7 linked regions of the Macaca mulatta genome follow. The protein of the gene in region 1 interacts with the protein of each later gene in a biochemical or structural test. Links are inferred from orthologs where the notes say so. Each region holds a gene or a part of one and is shown on either strand. Other genes may lie near its edges. The genes, in order: CDC42, PAK1, TRIP10, PAK2, CDC42EP5, CDC42EP3 and IQGAP1.

Region 1 (4,109 bases):
GAGAGAAATAACGGTTCCCTCAAAGTACTCAAAGTGTCCAAGAAAAGGCTGACAGATTATTTGCTGGGATTTTTTTTTTTTTTTTTTTTTTTTTGAGACAGAGTCTCCCAGGCTGGAGTGCAATGGCATGGTCTCAGCTCACTGCAACCTGCCTCCCGGGATCAAGCGATTCTCCACCTCAGCCTCCTGAGTAGCTGGGACTACAGGTGCATGCCACCACACCCAGTTAATTTTTGTATTTTTAGAGAAAATTTTAGAGACGGGGTTTCACTATGTTGGCCAGGCTGGTCTCAAATTCCTGACCTCATGATCTGCCTGCCTCAGCCTCCCAAAGTCCTGGCATTACAGGTGTGAGCCACTGCGACTGGCCAGCTGGGAATTTTGTGAGTAAAATTCATGTTATTGGGCACAAACTGCATGATGTGAGACATCTTCTGTAACAAGATGCTTAATATGTAAATAGACCATAAAACCCTTATCAAATTCAGTACAGCATATACTAATATTGGTTGTACTAAGTTATGTGTGAAAATGGGAGGTTTAACAATGCTAAATGGGAAAAGACCCAACACAAATTCTGGAGTCTTTAGAATTAATTTACAATAGAAAAGCAATGCTTTCATATACAACTATAATCTGTCAATTTACAATAAAAATTTAAAAATTAAATGATATATATAAAAAGAAAAGCAAAGCTTTCCAACTAGGAGAAGAATGCCACATTTTAAGACCAGCCCTACTTAACCTTTGGGTACCTACTCTGATTTTCTGATTTATGTTTTAACAGACTGCTCAAGAGCTTATTTAAATGTAAAGAAGAAGAGAAGCAAGGGCCTGAGGGAGATGACAAAGGAAAGTTCGTTCTTAAAAACAAGAACAAAGAAATCGAATGAATGTGATTAAGCTCTCAAACCAAACACATAACTTTCTTAAATCGCACTTAAGAGACTCAAAAACAACCCTCCTTTACTGGATTGTTCATATCCAAAACCAGACTAAGAATCAGAAAAGCTGGCTTCCATTCCAAAGTCTACTTTCCCTAGTGTAATTACACTAAGTAATTAAAGTCAGACTTCTAAGTCTCATCCCTAAATTGGGCCTGAGTACTCTCATCCATAAGCGATGGATAAGACAGTATGTATTGTCCCATTCAACTCTGAATTTCTATTACTCTAGAAACGGCAAGCTCCAATTTATAGATGGGAACTAAAATGCATTTTACACCAAATCCATTTCCATACTAACTTCAACAGGTACCATGAGAACATTATTTGTGCCTCATGGTCCATTCATTTACCTAAATCGGCTCATTTAAAATTTTATTCTACTACTCTTCCTTCCACCCTATCACTTTTCCAGAGATGTACACACAAACATACATATAAAAAACCCACAAGCCCACTTAAAATACAACACCAGAAGATCAAAGTCATAAAAGACTCAGAAATTATGTTTACAAGTTAAACAACTTCAATGGAAACTAAAACAGAAAAACTCTGATAGCTGTCCTCACTCTGAAACAAGATTCATATACCTCTAAACGTCCCCTGTAAGTCCACTGAACCTCACAACATCTTCCATTTATCTTGTCTCCAAATGGGCCAATTCAAAATATCAATGTGATTTTAGTGTTTAATAATACCTTCAAATTCTCCCCCCTTCAAAATAAACAACTTTACTTATTTTTGAGACAGCGTCTCACTACCTTTCACAAATGAGTGTTACTCTAACTCTTGTCTCTCTCTCTCTCACTTCAATATCTTTGTTATTCCCACCTTCCTTCTCCCATTCCAAAGAGCTGATTTAAAAAACAGCTGTGGGGTCGGGCATGGTGGTTCACGCCTGTAATCCCAGCACTCTGGGAGGTCGAGGCGGGTGGATCATTTGAGGTCAGGAGTTCGAGACCAGCCTGGCCAACATGGTGAAACCCTGTTTCTACTAAAAATACAAAAATTAGCTGGGCGTGGTGGCGGGCACCTGTAATCCCAGCTACTCAGAAGGCTGAGGCAGGAGAATTGCCTGAACCCAGGAAGCGGAGGGTGCAGCAAGCCGAGATCGCACTACTGCACTCCAGATAGAAGGGGCGATAGAGACTCCGTCTCCAAAAAAAAAAAAAAAAAGGTTGTGGGGGGTGACCCCCAAAGGTTTCTGTTGGTATTCTCATAACATAACAGGTCTTCTCTTCTCTGCCCCTAACAACCAGTTTGGAGCTCCATTACTGCTAAGAGAATAGTTCCACAAGAAAAGTGGAGACACATACAACTTTCTCTCAAGTTACAGGACCCCAAATGGTATCCCAGGAGACCTCCAAGTACTGTTCAATAACTGGCCAAAATATCCAAAAAAAAAAGTCACCTCATTCCAAGATGTAGGGCATACTTCACCAAATTGAGATCACCACTCGTTAGAATCTTGTCTACTGGAGTTTTGCCTCCCAGCACTTCTTGTAAACCCTTGTGTCACCCCTTCTGACTTTCCACTGATTTTTCAGCTGTTTAATTTTAAAGTGTATATAATTTACCCATGAGAAGTCAAGATCTTTAAAAACAGGAAACAAAGGCAGAAAACAGAAAAAAATTCAGTACACACAGAGAAAGAATTTTCAAAAGGGTATCAAATTTTACATTTTACTAACAGAAAGAAGCCTTTATACTTACAGTTGGTACATATTCCGATGGAAATTTGTTTGTTGTGTAGGATATCAGGAGACATGTTTTACCAACAGCACCATCGCCCACAACAACACACTTAATTGTCTGCATTGCTGAAATAGTTTTGTATCCACTTTAAATATTTCAAATCTGATGTTGACCTGCAAAAAGATTAAAGACATGTTTGTTTATGCTTATATATGTATTTTTTTTTCCTCACTTAGCAACAGGTTAAGGCACTCAGAGCAAGAAAAGAACTAGCACAATTATTATGGCTAAAAGAACCCAATAAGAGAAACAATGACTTGCTATAAGTTACAATAACAAATAAGGTTCATTTCTAAGTTTCTGATCCCTGGCTGTTTCAACTTCTTAAGTGTTATTTCAGAAGGTCCCAACTGGTGTGATAAACAGCAAATTTATTTTTATAATGAAAAAGAAGAGACTGTATCAGAGAAAATTCCACATACTGTACTAAATATTATTTTGTGAAAGCTTTTCTTCGGTTACACGTGCACACACACCTGTATGTATGCATGTATGTGAACTAGACTGCAATACAAAGGCCACCGCTTTAAAGAATGGTTCATTATCCAGCCTTACTCAGCCTTACTCAGGCTCTGACCAACAAGCAGTAGAGCCTCACACGAATTATATGAGTAACGTGAGGAACTGAACAAAGAACAGGGTGATCGCTGGCCTCAGCAGCTGTTTTAGCACCAGAATGCCTAGTCCAAAACCTACATTTTTATAATGAAAAGTCAGACTGCTCTAAAGCATACTGACTTATAAACAGATACTACAGCTTCTCTTATTCGAGTTCTCCTCAATTTTAAGAAGTTATCAATTACAAGTACCAAAGAGTCATTAATTTGAGAAACTTTTTTTCATTTAAACATCTCTAAAGTCAGAATGTATCTTTATTGAGTCTCTTACAATCATTATCAGCCATTTTTCCCCCACATTTTGACTTCTATGAAATTGGAATCTTAGATTCAATGAAATACTTTAACAGTTTTCTGAAAGAATAAAAAGAAATACCACCCAATATATACCTAAATTTTAAGATTTATTTATATGTAAATTAATTTAAATTATAATCCTAAAAGGGTTTAATTAAACATAAAAATACAGAACCACCTAACTCTTGGTCAGATGCCACCATGCTCCTATAGCACCATTCACAACAATTAATCATAACAATTTATAAACGCCTATTAACATCCCTGTAAATGAACCTATAGTACCTCAAGCACCACTATACTTCTAGCACTGAGCACTTCTAGACTGGCACACTGCGAGTTGTTGAAAGGATGCAAAAATCAAGAACACGAAATTACACTAGTGTGAGTAACCTACAGGAAATACACACTCTCCCGTTCCTCATCAAAATTATCTGCAGTATATTTTTCTTTTTTTAAACAGGGTTTTACTCCCATACCCTAAGCTGGAGTGCAG
Region 2 (3,500 bases), on another chromosome or scaffold:
CTCTGATATTTACCCACCTCTGCAGGTGCCAAGAACTATGTTAAACACTAGAAATACATATATATGGATTTCCTCTACTTTTTGAGGTGTTCATGGTTTAGTGGGGAAAAAAATGTTTTAAATGAACATGCCTACAAATAAAAAAAAACGTATCAGTGTTAACAACTCTCCAATTTTGAAGCCCATTTTCCCTTAAGGTAACTTTGTGACCTACAGAGAAAATGATTCCACAGATTCTGTTTATAAGTTCTCATCTTAAAAGGTCATATAATTCCTTTGAATTTCCTCCACAGCATCTCCAATAGTCACTCAACCAATTTCTGTTCGAACACCTCCCTGAATGCCGTATTCCAGAGGTAGCCCTTATTTATTTATTTATTTATTTATTTTCAAGATCACAGAAGTGCTAGATGGTTCCTTCATTATGGACCTAAACAAAGAAACACTAGTAGAGTATCATCTGATGGCAGGTCAGTGCTCAGTGATGCCAAATTAAGTAAAAGGCACGGGGACTAGATTTTTCAAAGCAAGGGTAGAGGGACTATGGCTATTCTTAGATGCAGGAACTTCAAAGAAAGTTAAACAGAAATCATTGCCAACATCCGGCATCAAAATGCACTCCTGATGCCCAGCATATTAATAGCGCTAATGTATTTATAAATTCTCTTGGGTCTTTCAGTATTATCGATAATGCTCTAAGAGGCTCAATGCTGCATATTTAACAGAGAAGAAAAGATCTGTAGCAAGACAATTTGTTGCTTCCCTGGAGACTGGAATAATTTATGTTTGTCCTGCACTAAGTAGCATCAATCCTGTATATCTTCCTGTCCTATCTGTGGAGAACAGGCTAAGCAAACCAAGACTGGATTGGTATAAACATCAATTACATAGGACACTTTGGGACTATCTACAAACCGATGATAAATAAATACACCATTTTTTGTCTTTAATCATACAGAAAGTACCTTTAGTCAAGGTAGTTCAGTGATTTCACCAGCTCCAAAATCTAAGGACCCCTACCAGAATATTAAATTTCTAGGTCTTAGCACCAACTCCTCCCTCTCCCCACTTACTCTAATAAATCACAAAACTGTCCAGGTCCCAAAGACTCACAGATTTTGTGTGCTCTGGGCGTGGAGCAATCACTGGTGGTGGGGTAGCATCATCATCATCATCATCCTCATCTTCTGAAACTGGTGGCACTGCAGGAGTCTCAGACACAGCCTTCACATTCTGTGCAAAGAAGAAAAGCAAGATGCATCTGGTCCAGCTGCCATGGAACTTAACTATCAGGATCACCAAACCCCCCAGGGAGAAACCCCAACCTGATACCCCTTCTGAAATCCACATTAGCCTCCAAGCTCTCACCTCCGTGTAGCTAGTCTCAGAAACTCAATCTGTTTCTCCCTCTTCTCTTAGCCATCATATCCACTCAATCCCTTGGAGCTTCCTTCTCCCACCCAAAGCCTAACTGTGAATGGGAAGCTAGCTTACAGCTTTTCTACCTGCCTCTCCCCCAACCCAACCCCTGAAGACAAGCTCACAGTACCTTCTTATTCTATGAATTTTGCTCTCCATACTGAATAGGAAATAAAGTATGAAATGTAGGGAAGGGATCAAAAGTTTCTAATTTTTCAAAATTCATCATTATAATTTCTTACTCTCTCCTGATATGGTAAATGGCAGTCTAAACAGGCTTTTGCCCTGTCCTTTTCCTCTCTTTGCAAAAATTTCCTGGACCCATTACGTCACCAGGGGTCCTCACCTCAACCTGAAGATAAAGAACATCAGCATCAGGATCATGTTGTCTAAAGAGAACAATGAATTTCTCCCCAGACTGGATACTATTTCCCTAAGCTTCCGCCCTACCCTGGAATGGAACTTATCACTAATTAGATCTGCTCACAATCTGTGACAACCTGATTTCCCCATGCAAACTGTAACAGAGCTGGGCCAAGAGTGGCAGGTTTTAGGGCAGGTCCAGGCAAAAATAGCATGCCATTACTGTTTATTACACAGAATTAAGAGACAAAATGCCTCCAAAACATGAGATTTTTGATAGAGACCAAATGATTCTATCATTTGGTCAGCAAAGAACCAGAGAGGCAATGGGGATCTTTTAATATATACTGATATAATTCAATAGTTTCAGGTATTTTCAGAGCACCTACTTTGTGCTCAGTAAGACTGATACTGTTGACATAAATGTACAAAGATGAAAAAGATGGTCCATGTCCTAAAGTAGTGACCATCTGGTATAGGCGATAGACAGAGGATGAGAGCCCCTCCTGCCTGACACCTGGAGCCTCCTAAGAGGAAGGTCAAGAGTCAGAATAACGGGATAAATGGAAGAACTAAGGAATAATATACTAGAGCTACTGACTGTGGAAGACTGTCTTTTACCACATTTGACATACAAAAGTAGGAAAAACTGGCACTCTCATAGACTTTAACAGGGCCTCCAGCACAAAGCATAACTTAAAAACTGACAGTGCTGGGCATATATAAGCAGTTGTGGTGACCACAGGCAATAAATCTGTCTTCTTGGTTTGAAGTTTAATCACCTGAGGAATGTGAAGGAAGAGGAGTGTTATAATTTGAGGGATGACCTTAAATCGTTTTCAGTTCCAAAACTCAAGAGAGGTTCTTTCCCTGTCAAAATATGTATTTCGATATTTTTCTGCTCTAATTTATTTTCTCCCCACTAGTCAACAAAATTTAACTAAAAACCTAATGTGGGAATAAAGTTGACTCAGCAAGGCTCTTCATCATCAGGTAGCCCTGGAGCTCCCCTGATGTATACTATAAACACTAGGTTTGTTTGCTTTATAAAACTGTAGAGAAGGGGATTTCATCACCTTCCTCAGTAAAAGATTCTGTCTTCCATAGGTGATAGCTTTGGGCAGTGATAATAACATCTGTCAGAGAGAGAAAGGTCTAGGTTATTACCTAGATTTTTACTTGTTAGCCCTGTGTCCTTGGGCAAGGGTCTAAGTTAAGTCTCACATTTTTAATATATAAAATAGGGATAATGACTACAGCTTTCTGCCTACCTCAGAGGGCCATTAAATGGATGAAATGAGGCAAAGTGAACATAAAATCACTGAAAATGGTAAAGAGCTAGAAAGATGTAAGGAATCAATTAAATTATCATTATGTCTAATAATCACAAATCTCTGTTTCAAACAAAAGCCACACATTCCACTATTCATCATCCATCTACCCATCTAGCCATCCATCCATCCATTCACTGTGTGCCAGGCTCCATTCTAGGCTCTGGGGCTAAATAAAGAATAAAACGGATAAAGCCTCTGGTTCTATAACTTACATTCTAGAAGAGAATAGAGTAAAAAACAATCACCAAAGTCTCTGCTCCACATAGGAGCAGAGATTGGTTGGGGGGTGGGGAGACACTATTTTAGATACCATAGGCATGGGCAAGCCTCTCTAATGAGATGTCATATAACAGTGACCTGAATGAATTAAGGGAGCAAGCCATG
Region 3 (3,500 bases), on another chromosome or scaffold:
AACCACAACTCAAGATACACAATCACACAGAGAAAACGCATGCAGGAGCGACACAAAAACATCTGGAAGGTGGCGGGGAGGACGTTAAACTGTAAGCCCAAAAGCCAGAACTCTCACACCCCCGGTATCTCCTAGGTCTCTGGAATGTTATGTCCGGGAGCAAGCATGGGTCCAGGAGGCAGGGAGGCCCATGTCTCTCTGTCCACTTAGCTTTCTGGGCTGACAGTCTAGAAGACGCATGCAGGAATCGAGGTCTCAGACAGGTGTGAGGCCACGGAGGACACAAAAGATAAACAAAAATAAAACCACAAGCTGAGAGGGAGTGGAAGGCAGGAAAATGAGAGGGGTTAGCGGCATCAGAGGTTTAAGCTCGGGGATCGCAGGTGGAAGTCAAGGAGAGGTATGAGAGTGTAAGTCAAGAGGGACCCAGAGTATAAATCAAAGGTATAAACCAAGGGTGCTAAGGTATATTAAAATCCAAAAACCCAAGAAACCAGGACGTGCAGGGCAGCTCCCGGAGTCCCATCAGCAGGATGGAGAGAGAAACTCGGGAAGTCCCCAGGGATGGTGTTACCAGCCCTCAGGCCAGCTCTGAATTCCACCAGCAGGTTTTCTCCCAGCATCCCGAGAAGCAGCAGACAAACGCCACAGACCTCCCCACCCTGCCCCCGCCTTCGCCTCGGGGGACTCCCAGGCCAAGCGGCCCGCCCGCCTTCCTTCCCTCCAGCCCGGGCTGGCAGCCAAGAGGAAAATTCCTGCCCGGGACTCGGCGTTCAGGCGGCTGGGGCTGACTCAACAGGGGCCCCGCTGTCCCCACCTCACTGTCCTTCTCCCCCACCATCCCAAGGGTCCCGGCCCCCACCTTGTTCTTCTTGCCAAAGGGCCAGCGCTTGGTGCGGATGCGGCCTGGGCCTCGGAGCTCCGGACGTCCTTCCGAGGGGGTGCCCAGACTGCTGTCCGAGGGTGCACGGTTCATGGGCTGGCTGAAGTCCTCGAATTCCACGTCGCCCGGGCGGGCAAAACCTGACTTGTGCAGCTCTATAAGGACTTGGGAGTCCTGGGGGAGGGGGACAGTGGATGAGTAGTCAAGTGACCAGCGTATGGGGACTTCCCTCCGCCCTTCCCATGACCCACTGGACCCAGACCAGGCACCCACGTTCTTGGGATCCACAGCATTTGCAGCCACCTTCATGCCCTCCAAGCACTTGGCGATGATGGGCACCACCTCCAGCTCGGCCTCCGACAGGAGCCCATACCCGGCACCCAGGCGGGTGGCCCTGCGTTCATCCATGTCTTGGAGCTTCTGTAGGGACGGGGACAAGGGTGGCTCAGGGGTGCTAACAGAGGGACTAGAAGCACAGTGATTCACTCTGCAAATATGATCGCACTCCACGCTGGCCCCAACCCCAAGCCAGTCTGGAGGGGAAGACAGAGTCAGGAAGAGAAGAGACTCCAGCCCAGTGTGGTTGGGGAGCGACACAGTGCCAGGGGGATCTCAGAGGGGGACGCCTGCCTAGGGGGTCAGCAAAGGCTTCTCAAAGGAGGAGACAAAGGAGCAGGGATTTGAAGAAAAAGCAGAACCAGCCCTGATACTTCCAGGGCCTGGGATGGGACAGAGAATGGAGCGCTAGATTGAAACAGGAGAGGGGAAATTCGAGACCTTTCAGAGAGGTTGTTAGAGGTGGAGCTTAAAATAATAAGTAGGAATTTCAAAAGGAAAGAAACCTTGCTTGAGCCCAGGGGTTCCAGGCTGCAGTGAGCTGGGATTGCGCCACTGCACTCCTGCCTGGGTGACAGAGCCAGGCCCCATCTTTCTATAGAAGTAAATAAACAAACAAGTAAAAGGCATGCCCAGCAGGAAGAACAGCTGATTAAAAGCACAGCTCGCTGTTATGATAGGTTTCTGATTCCCTTTCAATCTAGGGACTGGGACATTGCAGCTGGGGTTTTGACGAATGTGCAGGAGTTGGCTAACATTTGGGGGCTTTTGGGAAGGTAGGTCTGAGAACTGGGAGCACTCACATCAAATATCTGGGGCATCTGTGAAAAATAGAAGTGGGCTTGGTCTCGGTTGAAGCGCTGCAGTTGAGCTGCATATTCGTTTTTGCTTTCTTCGGCCATATGACTCCGAAGGTGGGCTTGCTGCTTGGCCTGAGGAATGAGGAGGTGGAAGGTACTACCAGGTTCTGGTCACGTCCCACCCGGACCCCCTAAGCTTGTCCCAGACCCCGCCACCCCCTCACACACCTTCTCCACGTCAGCCTTGGTGGCGTTGATATCCTGGTCTAGCCGTTCAGCCGTCTGGGCTGCCTTCTCTGCCTCCCGGCAGTCCCGCTCAAATTTACGCTTACTCTGTGTAGGGGACAGAACCAGAGTGAGGGAGCCACCCTCCCAAAGACAGCAGGGTGGGAAACCAAGGTTTCAGGGATTGTTGGGATGTCAACCAGTAAGTAGGGGACAAGGGCGTACTAGAAGCCTATGGGGCAGGGAAGGACCAGGTCTGACAAAGAGGGCAGGTCCCTGACTCCAGGATCTGCAACCCTGACCCCCGTGCCTCCGGGCCACAGTCACTGCCACCTCTGCAAACTCACATTCTCCAGCTGTTTGAAGCCGTTTTCCAGCTGCTGCTGGGCCCGCCGCCCTTCTTGGAAGTGCTACAGAAAGAAGAGCGATAAGGCTCGCCAGGGTTCCAGCAGGAGCCCTTCCCAAAACCTGAATCGGAGGGGAGTTCCTCACCATCTTCCTCTCCTGTTTCATCTCTTGTGAGTACTTGGTCAGCTCAAGACAGACACGGACACTGAGGTTCTCGGCCACCAACTCCCGCTGGCCTGCAAAGTCATTCACCTCCTGGAGAATCTGTACGAAGGACTGCTGCTGGCTGAATCTGGGGTAGGATGAGAATCGGGGAACAGGGAGTCAGGCCCCCCAAATAGGCTGATGCCCCAGGACGCACCTCCAGGTGGAAAAGGGTTAAGCCCCAAGAATTTAATCCTCGAAGCAATGACAAGTTGTGGTCCATATTCCTTAACCCCAACCTTTGAGTAGAATTTTTTTTTTTTTTTTTTTTTTTTTTTGAGACAGGGTCTTGCTGTCACCCAGGCTGCAGTGCAGTGGCATAATCGTGTCTCACTGCAGCCTCAAACTCCTGGGCTCAAGTGATCCTCCCACCTCAGCCTCCCAAATAGCTGGGACCACAGCCACACGCCACCATACCTGACTAATTTTTTTTTTTTTTTTTTTTTGAGATGAGGTCTCAAACTCCAATCCCCCCGAACTCCGCCTCTTCCCGCCTCACCCTCCCAAAGTGCTGGGAGTACAGGTGTGAGCCACTGCACTGGACCTCGAATGTATTTTGGAACACAGAATTTTCCAGTTTTTAAAGATGGTATACTGAGGTCAAGAGATCAAGACCATCCTGGCTAACACGGTGAAACCCTGTCTCTACTAAAATTATAAAAAATTAGCCGGGTATGGTGGCATGTGCCTGTAATCCCAGCTAC
Region 4 (3,500 bases), on another chromosome or scaffold:
TTATCTTATACCTGAAGGAAAGGGCTGAAATGCCTGTGTAGGATGAAATGGTATGGGGATGGAGTAACTTGTAGAGAATGTGTACAGAGAAAGCACTTCCCACAATAACAATTAACTGTGCAGAAAAAGTTCCTTTTGTTCACTTCTTGCTAACCACATATCACCATAACGTATCAAGGAGGAGGCACACCTACCTCTCTGCATACAGCAGCAATCTGTGCTTCATCCATGCAGGTTTCTGTTACCACATCAGTGAGCGATCCACCAGCAAGGTATTCCATGACCACAAACAATTCATCTCCTACCAGGTAACTAAAAATACACATACCAAATACACTCACACTTACATTTTTTCTAAACACATGGTATCCTATGTTGAAGAATTCAAATATTAAACACCCTAACAATGAAACTAGAGGGCTGGTAGCTTGAGAGTTAGGAAGAAAATTGGAAAGCTGCTATGTAACAGCACAGAAAAATAACTGAGGTTATGACCCTGAATCATTTTTAAGTTACAGTTTGCCCACAACTGTAGTGTGAGTATGCACACAGATTCATTCTGATTAAAATAATCCTACAATATAGAAATTACTAGTCCCGTTTTAGAGATAAAGAGACAAAGGCTTGGAGAGGTTCGTGACTCATCCAAGGTCACATAGCTATTAATAGTAAGTGACAGAACCAGAATCTGAAGCCAAGCATCAACGATTCCAAAGCCCATGGCTTATCTTAACCACCCTACTATGCTGACTTGAAATGTTATTTCAAAAAGCAGGGAACTGTACCTGAAAAGTTTATTTTTTATTTTTTTTTGAGATGGAGTCTTGCTCTGTTGCCAGGCTGGAGTGCAGTGGCGCGATCTCGGCTCACTGCAACCTCCGCCTCTTGGGTTCAAGCAATTCTCCTGCCTCAGCCTCCGGAGTAACTGGGACTACAGGTGCGTGGCACCATGGCCAGCTAATTTTTGTATTTTTAGTAGAGACGGGGTTTCACCATGTTGGCCAGGATGGTCTCGATCTCCTGACCTCATGATCCACCTGCCCTGGCCTCCCAAAGTGCTGGGAGTACAGGCATGAGCCACTGTGCCTGGCCTGAAAAGTTTATTTCTATGAACATGTTCTCCATAACTAGGGCTAAAGTCTCGAAATGTATTATCATTTCCTTATTCTAAACAAATTTAAATATGGAAGAAAATCACCTATAATCACCTCTATCTTCAATAAAACCACTGTTGTCATTTTCAACTAATCTTCTCTCATTCGTATATGTGACTGCTTTTTCAAGCGCAGTTGTAGTAATATACATCATTTTCTTTTTTTTTTTGAGAAGGAGTCTCACTGCGTTGCCCAGGCTGGAGTGCAGTGGTGCGACCTCAGCTCACTGCAACCTCCACCTCCCTGGTTCAAGCGATTCTCCTGCCTCAGCCTCCTGAGTAGCTGGGATTACAGGTGTGAGCCACTGCACCTGGCCAATATGCATCATTTTCTATTCTGCTTTTTGGTCTGTTATTTAACATTAATTCCTAAACTAAATGAGGTTTTGATAGACATACAATTTGTCCATAAAGGATAGCATTTGAAATAAAAATTGATCTACAAGTTTAAAAACCATATGACCAGTCCCCTGTCAGTCACGACATGAATCACAGCCAACCATTCATGTTTTCACTTCAGGTCATTTGCAATGAATATAAACACCACCAGCTATGGCCTTCATTTAACTGCCTTCTCTCACTTGCCAAGTGATATCCTTGTAGAGAAGGACCTTCTAAAACTGCAGTGTGCTATTTTTACCTCTCCTCTTATTTCTCAGCATTGACAGTTTATTCTAAAGTGGCTAGCCAGCCCCCAAACCATGAGACTTAAAATTTCTACATTTTTATCCCAATGTTTAAGAAATAATCATATTTACCTGTCCAAGAAGTTAACTATGTTGGGATTTTTTAATTCTTTCATCACCAGAATCTCATTAATGATCAATTCCTTCTTTGGCTGTTTCTGTAAATTAATCTGTTTGATAGCAACCTATAATGAAAACAGGATTGAAAAAAATCAGGTTTACGAATTCTCTTAAAAAATTACAAACACCAAGCAGTTAATAACTTACTTTACGGCATGTATATTATATTATACAATGCTATTACTCATAGGTGGTACTTTTACTTGCACATTGCCTCTGCACAATGCTTTGTAATGTATAGAGCCTAAACAGTTTTAGATTTATCTTGAAGTTAATACACCCACAGTCAGTCCAACACTAAGAATTAATCCTCTTTTCACTTGAGCTGAGAAAACAATTTTTAAATACTTGCTTATTTATGACATTAAACTCAAAATTCCTTCTTTGTTCCCCTTAATGACAGAAGTGCTATAAAAACACGTAGAGCAATCCTTACAACATGTTCAACTTAAAAGAGAGTCCTAGTGATTCTTCCCAGCTTTATCTAGTTTCCACCTATATGACAAAATAATGGTAACATCCAGGATTATGACAAAGTAGCTACCTCCTGTCCCAATGCAACGTCAGTAGCAGTGAAAACTGTACCAGAAGCCCTAGAGGGAGAAAACAGCCAGATTTAAGGTTGACAAATCACCAGCATTTACAATATCCAAAGACTTTACACTTCAAGCAACTGAAAAAGAATTAAAGAACAGTGACGACCTAACATGCTTAAAAGGAGTAAAAGCAAAAACACGAGGAAAGGGGGTGGGGGAAGAAAAAGAGACAATCCTCATGGCCAAAACTTATGTTTGAAATATTTCAGACCTACAAAAATGTAGGGAAAAAAGATCAAGAAAAAATATATGTAACATATACTTATGGATACACTTCCCTGATTAAGATACAAAGAACTATAAATAATTTGAAGATTCCCATGAGCCCTTTCCAACAGCAGTCTCCTTCCTCCCAAAGGTGATCTGTATTTGGTGTTTATCCTGTATTTGATGTTCATCATTTTCATGCATTTCTCCATACTTTTAACTACAAAGGACACAGATGTTTATCCCTATAAAATATACTTTGCCTAATTTTTTTTTTTTGAGACGGAGTCTCCCTCTGTCGCCCAGGCTGGAATGCAGTGGCACAATCTCCACTCACTGCAAGCTCCGCCTCCTCCCAGTTTCACGCCATTCTCCTGCCTCAGCCTCCCTAGAAGCTGGGACTACAGGCGCCCGCCACCACGCCCGGCTAATGTTTTTTGTATTTTCAGTAGAGATGGGGTTTCACCGTGTTCACCAGGATGGTCTCGATCTCCTGACCTGGTGATCCACCCGCCTCGGCCTCCCAAAGTGCTGGGATTACAGGCGTGAGCCACCGCGCCCGGCCTGCCTAATTTTTAAAGTCATATAGTTTCATTTCACATATTATCCTGCAACTTGCTTTTGTTACTCAATACTGGATTTGTGATGGTCATCCATATGGATAGGCATTGCTTGTTCATTCATGCTCAAAAATAATAAGATAATCTTCAATTCTCTTTCACAAAACCAGTGCTGCAA
Region 5 (2,708 bases), on another chromosome or scaffold:
CCTCCGCCTCCCAAGTTCAAGCGATTCTCCTGCCTCAGCCTCTCAAGTAGCTGGGATTACAGGCATGCACCACCACAACCAGCTAATTTTGTATTTTTTTTTTAGTAGAAACGGGGTTTCACCATGTTGGTCAGGCTGGTCTAGAAGTCCTGACCTCAGGTGATCCACCTGCTTCAGCCTCCCAAAGTGCTCAGATTACAGGTGTGAGCCACCGTGCCTGGCTAGGGAATTTGTATTATTATTATTTTAGAAAACATAAGACATCATAATATTAGGTTGTAGTCTTTCAAGATCAGGTACAGTTGTCCCTTGGTAGCAGTGATGGGATTGGTTCTGGGATCCCCATGGATACCAAACTCTGAAGATGTTTAAGTCTCTTATATAAATGCCCTAGTATTTGCATATAATCTATGTACATCCTTTCCTACACTTTAAATCATCTCTAGATTACTTATAATGCATAATACAATGTAAATGCTTTGCAAATAAGTGTTATATTGCTTGAAACTTGTACTCGTTTTTTTATTACTGTATTTTTCCCCAGTATTTTTGATCAGCAGTTAATTGAATCTGTTGATGCGGAACCCACAGATACCAAGGACTGTAATTCAAATCATAAAATGCACCCTAGGCAAAGTCTGCCTGGGCCTCTTCCTTGTGTGCCTGGTGGGCTCTAGGCAGGATCTGCTTTGCTCAATGGACAAAGTCAGCCCTGTCTTCAGAAAAGGAGCCTGGGAATTTCCATCTTTGACAAGCTGGAGTTTTCTTTTTCTTTCCATTGAGCCAGGATTTCACTCCTGTTGCCCAGGCTGGAGTGCAGTGGCCAGTGCAGTGACACAGTCTCGGCTCCCTGCAACCTCTGCCTCCAGGGTTCAAGCGATTCTCCTACTTTAGCTGGGATGACACGCATGCGCCACCATGCCTCGCTAATTTTTGCATTTTTTATAGAGTTGGGGTTTCGCCATGTTGTTTAGGCTGGTCTCGAGCTCCTGGCCTCAAGCGATCCGCCTGCCTCGGCCTCTCAAGCTGGGATTACAGGCGTGAGCCCCCGCACCCGGCCCAACAAGCTGGAGTTTTCTATCAGTCAAGTCTGGGAAGCACTCTGAAGGGTTTGTGAAATATTTGTTATTTGGCCTCTAGGAAGGCTCGAGTATTCGCTCTTAGGAGGATCGGCATAGCGTGGTGGTCATGGGAATTCTGGAGTCAGGTTAGGAAAACCTCGATCCAAATGTGAGTTCAGCAGCTGTGCCCATGGGACCTCCTGGAGTCTCATCTTACCCCATCTGTGACACGGGAGGCCGGGCGCGGTGACTCACGCCTGTAATCCCAGCACTTTGGGAGGCCGAGGCGGGCTGCTCACCTGAGGTCAGGAGTTCAAGACCAGCCTGGCCAATATTGTGAAACCCGTCTCTACAAAAATACAAACATTGGCTGGGTGTGGTGGAGGGTGACTGTAATCTCAGCTACTCGGGAGGCTGAGGAGGAAGAATCGCCTGAACCCGGGAGGTGGGGGGGGTTGCGGTGAGCCGGGATGGCGCCACTGCACTCCAACCTGGAGGACAGAATGAGACTCCGTCTCAAAACAACAACAAAAAAAACGGGAGCTGTCCCCCATGGTCCTTTGAGCAGTCTCGCGGCTGCGAGCCCCGGGCTGGGGCCTCGCTGACCCTCCCGTGCCCCTCGCAGATGCCCGTGCTGAAGCAGCTGGGCCCCGCACAGCCCAAGAAGCGGCCGGACCGCGGCGCCCTGTCCATCTCCGCGCCGCTCGGCGACTTCCGGCACACGCTGCACGTGGGGCGCGGCGGCGACGCCTTCGGGGACACCTCGTTCCTGAGCCGCCACGGCGGCGGGCCGCCCCCAGAGCCCCGGGCGCCCCCCGTGGGGGCCCCCCGCTCCCCACCACCGCCCGCCGTCCCGCAGCCCGCGGCGCCCTCGCCTGCCGACCCGCTTCTGTCCTTCCACCTGGATCTGGGGCCCTCCATGCTGGACGCGGTGCTGGGCGTCATGGACGCGGCGCGCCCGGAGGCAGCTGCCGCCAAGCCCGACGCGGAACCCCGCCCCGGGACGCAGCCCCCCAAGGCCCGCTGCCGCCCCAGCGGGGACCTCGAGCTGGACGACGTCATCGGCCTCTAGGTTCCCCCATTCCCTGCGCCTTTCCCGCCCGGCACCCCACTTCTGTATACATAAACGTCCAAGGCGTGTGCCCGGGCTCTGACTTTTCACTTTGCACGTGGGAAGGGATGAATGATAGGGTCCTGGCGCCTCTAAGAGCCGGAGGTGTCACCGGGAGATCTGGTCCGGGTCGGATGATTGCCCTGGGGTGGGGTGCGGCTCCTTTAAGAGAGCCCGGGGGCGAGGCCAGGCGGTGCCGCTTGCAGAGGCGGCCGCTCCCGCAGTCCCGTTCGTCAAATACTGAGCGCCACCGCTGGCTGCACTTGGTCCTGGGGCCGGGCCAGACTCAGCCACCGCAGAGCCCGCCGAGGCGGGGCTGCCGATTGCTGTAGCCCCGGGAGTCCTGGGCCTCCACGCCTCGGGTGGACTCCGACCGGGCGGGGCTGCCCTTTACTCTGGGAGCGGCTGCAGAGGGAAGTGTCTGGGAACCCTTTTAGAGCAGTCGGGGCCTGGTCTCCGTGGGGGAAGGGTCCGCTGGCATCTTGGTTCTTTAAGGTCCCAGAAGGATGGGGCGAAACGTGCAAATGATTTGGACT
Region 6 (4,163 bases), on another chromosome or scaffold:
CACCACATTAAAGGAAAGGCTGGAGGGCAGACAGGGCAAATGAACTCACGTGAGCCCTTCTGCAATCATTGTTACGGCTTTGTATTACTCATCTTGCACCACACTTAAATGTACAATAAAAAGCAAAAAGTGTGCAACACGCATTACTCTAGCTGCTTTTACTTGTTCCATAGAGATATGCGAAACAATTTCACTGCTCAGATTGAGGGAAAGAGGAGCTCATCTTATTTCAAGCCTGTAGCTGCTGCCACAGCCTCAGCACCACGTTCTAATCATAGACTTCATCATGTAAATCTCTAGCAGATGATACCACTGGAAAACAGAAACTGCCATGGATCCAGAAATGCTTCCAAATTTCTCCTCTAAAGTTCTTATCTGTGAACTCAGAGGCTGACGCTGTCTTATTCAATGGGTGAGGCCCACTGGGAAACCCACATTATTTGGGAGACTATGAAGAACTTTCCACCATTCCTTGACTATATAAAAGGCCTTTATCACGTATTTCATGATACATGAAAATGCTAAATATTTCACAACTACTCCAACTTATTTCTGAGGGTCTAAATCTATTCTGAAAAGGGTATGCATCACACACCTACCTGTGTAGCTTATTAACTACCAATAAGAACTCACACAAATTGCAGGGGGTATGAAATAATAGACTTCTGGGACTGTCCAGAAAAGAAGAGAAGGTACATTTTTCCCGGTTTTAAGATGAAAGCTCTTGTGTAAGTTAGAACATTACAGGAGTCGTTTAAATTCTCTTAGGTATACCTTTGGGGCATCATCCCTGGTTCCTGGCGAGTCTTTTTTCTCCCTGTGATGTTAAGAGGAAGTCCCTAAGACTGGCTTTGCTATTAAAATACAGACATCTGCTGCTCTCCTAATTTTTGTTCTTTTTAAATGGGAGTACTCCCCAGAAACTCTGGGATATTGTGGGAACTAAGATCTGGGAGATGGGAACGGAATCTTTGTCTCCCTAACACATTCATCAGTTCCCTCCCTAGAGCCCCCCATACCCTCAGCACACACCAGCAGCCCACTCCTCCAAAGACGCCAGGGCTGGAAAGATTCATGTTGCAATACCCTCCTGACATTCCTCATTTTAATTCGCTCACTTTTTTTTTTTTTTTTTTTAAACAAAATGTAATTACTTGACTGTCAGCCTGCGCTGCACTCTGGGGCTTTTACTCCTTTCAACACAGCTGCGCTCCCGGCTTTGATGCTGCTGTCCACGCAGCTTGTCCCAGCCACAGCCTGGCTCTCGGTAATGTAACATTCAAGTGCATATTTATTTTTAAACTGACCTCTCCTAGACTGCACAGTATAAAGGAGATCCTGCCAAAAAATATGCTACTTTCTATTTATAAGATGAAACACATGCCTCCCAAAGTCGGAGGGGGATAGAGTATAATAATTCATAACGAAAAAACGATTGGCCAGATCCACTCGTCCTCACGTCTGATACTTGTCTGTGTCAAGCCACTTGGTTTCAAGGAGAAAGGGAGGAAAACTACAATCAAAAAACCTTGTAAACGTTTCAGCTGTTCACCGTCAAAAAACAAAAAAGTCAATATCCAGATTTCCAGGTTGGCGCCCCACTAACAATGTCCTCCATTAAGAAAGAGGAGGGCACCGGGCAGGCGATGCCACGGCAGAGCTGTGCGATGCACCCATGTGCGGCCCTGGTACCAATTCACGACGCGAGGGGCGCGGTAGCCAAGTGCGGCTTGTTCTCAGATGGAAAAATGCTATACGCGCCCAGAATGGCTCTGTCAATAGCTCGGAGGGAGCAATGGGGCCGCGCTGCCCCACCCTGAAAAGCGGTGGGCACAAATGGTGGAGCTCTGAGTCCCGGTCATGCCGCCCGCCCCACTCCTGGCTTGCTTTATGTCCCCTTCGGTCCGTTGGACACTAGATGTGAAAGCGATGCCCTCGGTATCCCGGCTCCCTGCTGGTTTCCCAGCCTAACACCAGCGCACGCCGGAAGCGGCCACGGCGCGGGCGGGACAGACTCACAGACAGGTAGAGAGGAAGGAACCCTGGATTACCCAGACTCACCGGCCGCCGCTGAGAATCCCAGCCGCTGCCCCGGGCCTCCCGCGGGCGCACGCAGCCCCGGCCGGTGTGCGCAGATCCAGCCGAGTCTGCCGGCGCGGTGCCTGCTCACCGCATTATCCGCTCCGAGACAGCGTGAAGGCGCCCCAGGCCGGTGGCCGGGTCTCCGGGCTAACCCCGCACTGCGGACCCTCGGCCGCAAGAGAAGGTGCGCGCAACTGAGAGCTGGGCGGCAGGACGCGAGGACTGAACCTGCGGAGGGCGGGGCGGCGCGGGGCGGGGCCGGCGGCGCGGGGACGGACTGGGGCGGGGCGGAGGGCACGGGCCCCGGGGCCGACCCTCCCGGCCGCTGTACCTGTGCCCTGGCCCGGGGCCAACCGGCAGCCGGGCGCGCGCGCAGGGGGGTTCACCGTTGGACCCTCGGAGGACAACGGGCGCCCATTGTTACCTCTCCAGCGCTACCCCCCAGTAGGCGACTTCCCTCGGAGAAGACGCCGCTTTCGACTCCCTAAGCACAAAGAAAGGTCGTCGGACGCTCGTTTTAAAGAGGGACCCGGAGGTGCTGCCGCCCGGGTGCACGGGGACAATAGGACTCCGCCCGCACCCCGGACTCCCGCACTAAACCTCGTGCGCCCACCTCTCCCGATCCCAACAGGCCGACCTAGCCGTGCGAAGTTCCGGTGTGGCGGGCGGTGACCGGCAGGGAAGCGAGGCCACCTGAGCGCGCCTCCCCGTTCAGGCCGCAGCTCCCCAGGTCCCTCGCAGCCAGTGCTCTGGTGGGCGCGGAGGGGGAGGGTCGCGTTCTGTCAGTTTCCAGCTCGCTCCCCTTGGAGCTGCAGCCAAAACCCGGAGCGTGGACTTCGCGCCCTGGAGATGCCGGAGCTCCGGGCTGAGCAACTGGACAAGCGACGAACAGCAGACGCTACAGGTTCTCCTGTCCAGAGGGAGGCGTTTCCTCTCCCTCAGGGTCTTTCAAAAGGATTTGCCTAAAGCTGAAGCAAGCTGGTGGCGGCTGCCCCAGACGCGCGACGAGGCGCAAGTGGCGCAGCTGCCGGCCCGGGACCGTAAAATTCCTCCCGTGGTGGCACCTGCGCCCGCCGGTCAGCGGGCCACAGCCAGCGCCGCCGACTGGCGCACCCCTCCCCTCCGCCGGGGCACTAGCGTGAACCGGGTTAATGAATGCTAATTTTCTTAATCGGCCTCCGTCTTTTCCTCCTCCGCGAGTCATCGGCCTGGGGAAGGAGTAGGCGACAGGAAAGGGCGGTTTTTTCCGGCTGGGAGGTCCCAGCCCGCATGATTAGCCTGGGGAGGGGGCTGGGACCCCGGGGAGTCGGATGCTCGGGGCCTGGTCTCTGCCCTGAGACTCTCAGGTTGGATGGAAATCCCGGCACAACGCGGAGAACTTTCCGGGCACCTTGGCTTTGCCGAGAGGTCCCTAGCTTCAGTCATCACCGCGGTCCTCTAGGTCTGTCTGAAACCCTAGAGGGTGCACCTTAAGCCGATGTTGTAAACCCAGGCTGACTTTAAGGTGAAGTGAAAAGGAAACGGACACAATCTGGAAAGCAAAATACTTGGGTGGGGTGTTAAAAGCTTCAAAGAAAAATAATAGTTGGCAGGTCAAATGGCCATGAGGTTGGAAGTCAAATAAGAAACTCGGCTGAAGTGATGTTAGAAGTTTGACAAGCAAAACAGTCCATGAAGATAAGAGACCCAGCATTGTTTCCCTTCTTCAAAAGACAACTCGTCCAAAGTTTCCTTTGGCAGATACCTGGATTCTACTCCAGATTCCTGAGCATTTTACTTGGGTTTCATATTTCAAATTATATGTTCCATTTGGCACTAATGTATATATTTTATATATTAATTTATTGAAAAATATTAAATGTTGCTGGCCTACTTAGAAAAAGGTATTTTTATAAATATTTATGCATAGTTTTCATTACATATGGTATTTTATAAGCCCAAATAATATGTGTGTATTATATGTATAAAATACCACATGAAAAATTCCCTTTGAACACATAAAGACATTCCTGACACACATGTCTTGTATGTAATTTTTTTTATGTGATCTATTGTTAGCTGCTGTTAAAAGTACTTTATTT
Region 7 (3,500 bases), on another chromosome or scaffold:
TACACAGAGAAAGAAGCTAGTATTCTAGATCATGTTAGAAAAATAACACAGAGGGCTGGGGTAAAAAGAAAGAAGAGTAAAAGCACTATTTTATCAAAGTACTAGATCAATTCAGTGGGATTCTGATTCAGTAGGCCTGGGCGGTCTCCAGGAAACTTCATTTTTAACTACTAGCCCATAGGATTCTGATGCAGATGGCCTGGGAAGACATTTTAGAAACCTAGCAGTAGATATTGTTAAGAGTAAGAAGCAAAAGGCCGGGCGTGGTGGCTCAAGCCTGTAATCCCAGCACTTTGGCAGGCCGAGGTGGGTGGATCATGAGGTCAGGATATCGACACCATGCTGGCTAACACAGTGAAAGCCCGTCTCTACTAAAAATACAAAAAATTAGCCAGGCGTGGTGGCGGGCGCCTGTAGTCCCAGCTACTCAGGAGGCTGAGGCAGAATGGCGTGAACCCAGGAGGTGGAGCTTGCAGTGAGCCGAGATTACACCACTGCACTCCAGCCTGGGCGACAGAGTGAGACTCCATTTCTAAATAAATAAATAAAAAAGAATAACAAGCAAAAAAAAGAGACATCAAGGAGATGCACGTCAGTTAGATCACAGGAAGGTGAGACACCTGGCTACCAGAGATGATAACCAGCAGCCAGGGATAATAATTAAAGACAATGAAATTAAGTAATTAAAGAAAAATACTTACAGTGTGGGTGTTGATGATTTCACCAATGGAAATGTAGATTACTGGTTTGGTGAGGGTTACTAAATCAGAGTACTCATCCACATTAAATTTATCCTGAAGCTCTGGGACATCACAAGCAGTTTGGAAAAACCGTCTAAAATAAGCACAGGAAGCAGCCCCCCAAAAAGGGACATATGCATGAGAAGTTGGCAAGAGGACATTTCACAAACCTCTCACACAATGAGTGCAAACAGAAGCCAGTCAATATAGTTACTTCAAGAGAAAGTGCTGTGTGTTTGCTGTGCTTGACAACCTTGGGATACTGGCTCTAATAACTTCTTTCTCCACCTAGTTTGTAGTTTTAGTTTTATCCTTAAGAACCATTGCACCATGATTTAAAACTGTTCTCAGGCACCATTAGGAGAACCAATTCTATCTCTAAGACAGTGCTCTGAAGCATTCAAAACTAGATGTTAATTTACAAAAATTAAAAGCATTCTCCAATTCTTCTCTGATTACAAGGTAACGTACTAAATGCATAATCATCATTATTTTTATGTTAACTACTATCTATTTCATAAGTGTTAACTACTATGTATTTCATATGAAAATTCTCGGCCGGGCGCGGTGGCTCAAGCCTGTAATCCCAGCACTTTGGGAGGCCGAGACGGGCGGATCACGAGGTCAGGAGATCGAGACCATCCTGGCGAACACCGTGAAACCCCGTCTCTACTGAAAAATACAAAAAACTAGCCGGGCGAGGTGGCGGGCGCCTGTAGTCTCAGCTACCTGGGAGGCTGAGGCAGGAGAATGGCGTGAACCCGGGAGGCGGAGCTTGCAGTGAGCTGAGATCCGGCCACTGCACTCCAGCCCGGGCGACAGAGCGAGACTCCGTCTCAAAAAAAAAAAAAAAAAAAAAAAGAAAATTCTCTTCAAAGTACATCGATCATCTTCTGGAGTCCCGGGCACATCAAACATGTCTTCTACAATATGGCAGTCAGGGAAAGTGAGGGGTGGTTTTTAATCTTATCTTTTCCCTCAATGATAAAAATACATCCACAGACTCTCTTAAGCACTTGTGCCTTTCCCCTTACCTGAATTTCTGGTAGGACTGGGAAAGATATTCATTAATGATGCTTAAGTGGGCATTATCTCCCAGAAACATCTTATTAGAAGCAGCATGCTGAAGCATTTTTGCAATGGAGCCCAGATTTCGGCGTTGGTCTGTGGTAAGCTGGCCTCCTGCCGACAGGTCAATGATGTCAAAGGCATCAGGAGCAACAATGGCTGGATTCATGTATCGATAATAAAGCAAGTTACCAATAATCTGGAACAGATGAAACAGAAAGATGGGTATTAAAAGACATACCACCAAGTAAGCCACAAATGACTTTGCTAGCAAAGAAAAGCAGAAAATGCAGTCCTATGAGTAAAAAATAAATAAAAAATACATACACACATGCACGCATGCACATATACACACTCTTTCTCATGGCCTGGAACTAAATGAAATATCCCTTTGTTCAATACAGGAAAACAATGAGAACAGAACTGAAAACTACTGCCAGTAGTTAATGAAAGAGCAGATTCAGAAGGTAAAAATGATACACTTAAAGTCTGTTATTAAGTATTTCAGGACATCTTTTGTTCACATATCATGGTAGCAAATAAGGCTGGTGTCACCCACGTGCACTTTGTACTTTCATGTAGATGGGTTTTCCTTATAAAAAGCTAACAAACATAGCTAAATTCCTTAACATGACCCAATCAGCATAGAGTAACCCCACCTCCCAACATTCTCATGCTGCAGACTTCAAAGGCCAAGTTCATGCCTCTGAAATTAAATTCACTTAACACACATCTGTTCCACAGAAGAATTCAGGGACAGTCACAGCATTTCCCCTAGAGTTTCATTCAGAAGAAATAAAATTAATTCACCTGAACAGAAAGTCTAGAATCGAGGCCTCACTGTAGGAAAGCACAGAACTAGGAGAGAGAAGAAAAAAGCATTCAGATTAAAAAAAAAGAAAAGAGAAGAGCACAGCTGAGTAAGAAAGAGCTATCAGCAACAGCCTTAGCAGAAATAACTGTGCTTGCTACTATTTGCCAGGTCACCAGCAGAGGGAACAATACTACAGCGAAAAGACAGGACTCAAAGAAACTCATCTGAAAACAGGAAAAATCCATCTTTCTACTTGTTTGATGTTTGTGCGCCAAACTATAGGAAGTGTTTCATCCTAAGAGAGGTATCATTTACCAATTACAATTGTTTTCAAAAGCTCACAATCAATGGCAAGCTACTGCCAGAACCTACACTTAGGCAGTTAGTAATGATCTACGGTCAGTCCTGCTTTTATAGCTTTGTCCTCAAAGGGCAGGAGTCTGCCGGCTATCAGATTCTTACCTTCAGCAGCTCATCCTCACCAGCATCAGGGAACTTCTCATGCAACGAGTCCTTCAGCACTTTGGCAATGAAGCGCATCCCATAACTGCGGGATGGACAAAACTTAGTGAGAAGGGCCAAGGAGCAGAAAGGCACTTACTGCTGGGCTCTACTGGGGGTCATGACAACTGATGGCACTCACGGGATTTTGTCCACAGAGCTGACAATGGCTGAGAGAAACTTGTCTGTCACAGCCCGCATGTTCCTGATGGAGCTGTCTAGCCGTGTCTTCACTTCTTCATGAGCTAGCGCCTGCTCAGGGGTCACATCATAGGGCAGTTTGCTGGGAAGAGAGAAATTATACCCAACTATGTTAGACTAACAGCCAGGAACAGCCTGAAGCAAGTGTCCTATCTTTCATAAACTGAAAGACCCAG

What was found.
Region 2: the proteins of CDC42 (region 1) and PAK1 form a complex in vitro, tested with the Homo sapiens proteins (11 studies listed by BioGRID and IntAct, with this or other methods). The link is inferred for Macaca mulatta from reciprocal best matches to the Homo sapiens genes CDC42 and PAK1.
Region 3: the proteins of CDC42 (region 1) and TRIP10 form a complex in vitro, tested with the Homo sapiens proteins (3 studies listed by BioGRID and IntAct). The link is inferred for Macaca mulatta from reciprocal best matches to the Homo sapiens genes CDC42 and TRIP10.
Region 4: the proteins of CDC42 (region 1) and PAK2 form a complex in vitro, tested with the Homo sapiens proteins (4 studies listed by BioGRID, with this or other methods). The link is inferred for Macaca mulatta from reciprocal best matches to the Homo sapiens genes CDC42 and PAK2.
Region 5: the proteins of CDC42 (region 1) and CDC42EP5 form a complex in vitro, tested with the Homo sapiens proteins (2 studies listed by BioGRID). The link is inferred for Macaca mulatta from reciprocal best matches to the Homo sapiens genes CDC42 and CDC42EP5.
Region 6: the proteins of CDC42 (region 1) and CDC42EP3 form a complex in vitro, tested with the Homo sapiens proteins (2 studies listed by BioGRID). The link is inferred for Macaca mulatta from reciprocal best matches to the Homo sapiens genes CDC42 and CDC42EP3.
Region 7: the proteins of CDC42 (region 1) and IQGAP1 form a complex in vitro, tested with the Homo sapiens proteins (6 studies listed by BioGRID and IntAct). The link is inferred for Macaca mulatta from reciprocal best matches to the Homo sapiens genes CDC42 and IQGAP1.

Annotation. Positions count from the first base shown.
Region 1 is NC_133406.1:218,932,870-218,936,978, forward strand, and holds the start of CDC42 (cell division control protein 42 homolog), read right to left. Parts: upstream 2,801-4,109; 5' UTR 2,763-2,800; coding exon 2,658-2,762; intron 1-2,657. UniProt on the Homo sapiens protein: Plasma membrane-associated small GTPase which cycles between an active GTP-bound and an inactive GDP-bound state. In active state binds to a variety of effector proteins to regulate cellular responses. Involved in epithelial cell polarization processes.
Region 2 is NC_133419.1:77,772,864-77,776,363, forward strand, and holds part of PAK1 (serine/threonine-protein kinase PAK 1), read right to left. Parts: intron 2,919-3,500; coding exon of another isoform or gene 2,859-2,918; intron 1,287-2,858; coding exon of another isoform or gene 1,234-1,286; coding exon 1,114-1,233; intron 1-1,113. UniProt on the Homo sapiens protein: Protein kinase involved in intracellular signaling pathways downstream of integrins and receptor-type kinases that plays an important role in cytoskeleton dynamics, in cell adhesion, migration, proliferation, apoptosis, mitosis, and in vesicle-mediated transport processes.
Region 3 is NC_133424.1:7,604,940-7,608,439, reverse strand, and holds part of TRIP10 (cdc42-interacting protein 4), read right to left. Parts: intron 2,885-3,500; coding exon 2,737-2,884; intron 2,655-2,736; coding exon 2,592-2,654; intron 2,353-2,591; coding exon 2,248-2,352; intron 2,152-2,247; coding exon 2,023-2,151; intron 1,304-2,022; coding exon 1,157-1,303; intron 1,058-1,156; coding exon 863-1,057; intron 1-862. UniProt on the Homo sapiens protein: Required for translocation of GLUT4 to the plasma membrane in response to insulin signaling. Required to coordinate membrane tubulation with reorganization of the actin cytoskeleton during endocytosis.
Region 4 is NC_133407.1:2,356,721-2,360,220, reverse strand, and holds part of PAK2 (serine/threonine-protein kinase PAK 2), read right to left. Parts: intron 2,553-3,500; coding exon 2,504-2,552; intron 2,025-2,503; coding exon 1,912-2,024; intron 313-1,911; coding exon 195-312; intron 1-194. UniProt on the Homo sapiens protein: Serine/threonine protein kinase that plays a role in a variety of different signaling pathways including cytoskeleton regulation, cell motility, cell cycle progression, apoptosis or proliferation.
Region 5 is NC_133424.1:66,777,911-66,780,618, reverse strand, and holds the end of CDC42EP5 (cdc42 effector protein 5), read left to right. Parts: intron 1-1,686; coding exon 1,687-2,133; 3' UTR 2,134-2,208; downstream 2,209-2,708. UniProt on the Homo sapiens protein: Probably involved in the organization of the actin cytoskeleton. May act downstream of CDC42 to induce actin filament assembly leading to cell shape changes. Induces pseudopodia formation in fibroblasts. Inhibits MAPK8 independently of CDC42 binding.
Region 6 is NC_133418.1:87,264,273-87,268,435, reverse strand, and holds the start of CDC42EP3 (cdc42 effector protein 3), read right to left. Parts: upstream 2,801-4,163; 5' UTR 2,062-2,800; intron 1-2,061.
Region 7 is NC_133412.1:80,370,156-80,373,655, reverse strand, and holds part of IQGAP1 (ras GTPase-activating-like protein IQGAP1), read right to left. Parts: intron 3,407-3,500; coding exon 3,266-3,406; intron 3,170-3,265; coding exon 3,085-3,169; intron 2,008-3,084; coding exon 1,775-2,007; intron 835-1,774; coding exon 702-834; intron 1-701. UniProt on the Homo sapiens protein: Plays a crucial role in regulating the dynamics and assembly of the actin cytoskeleton.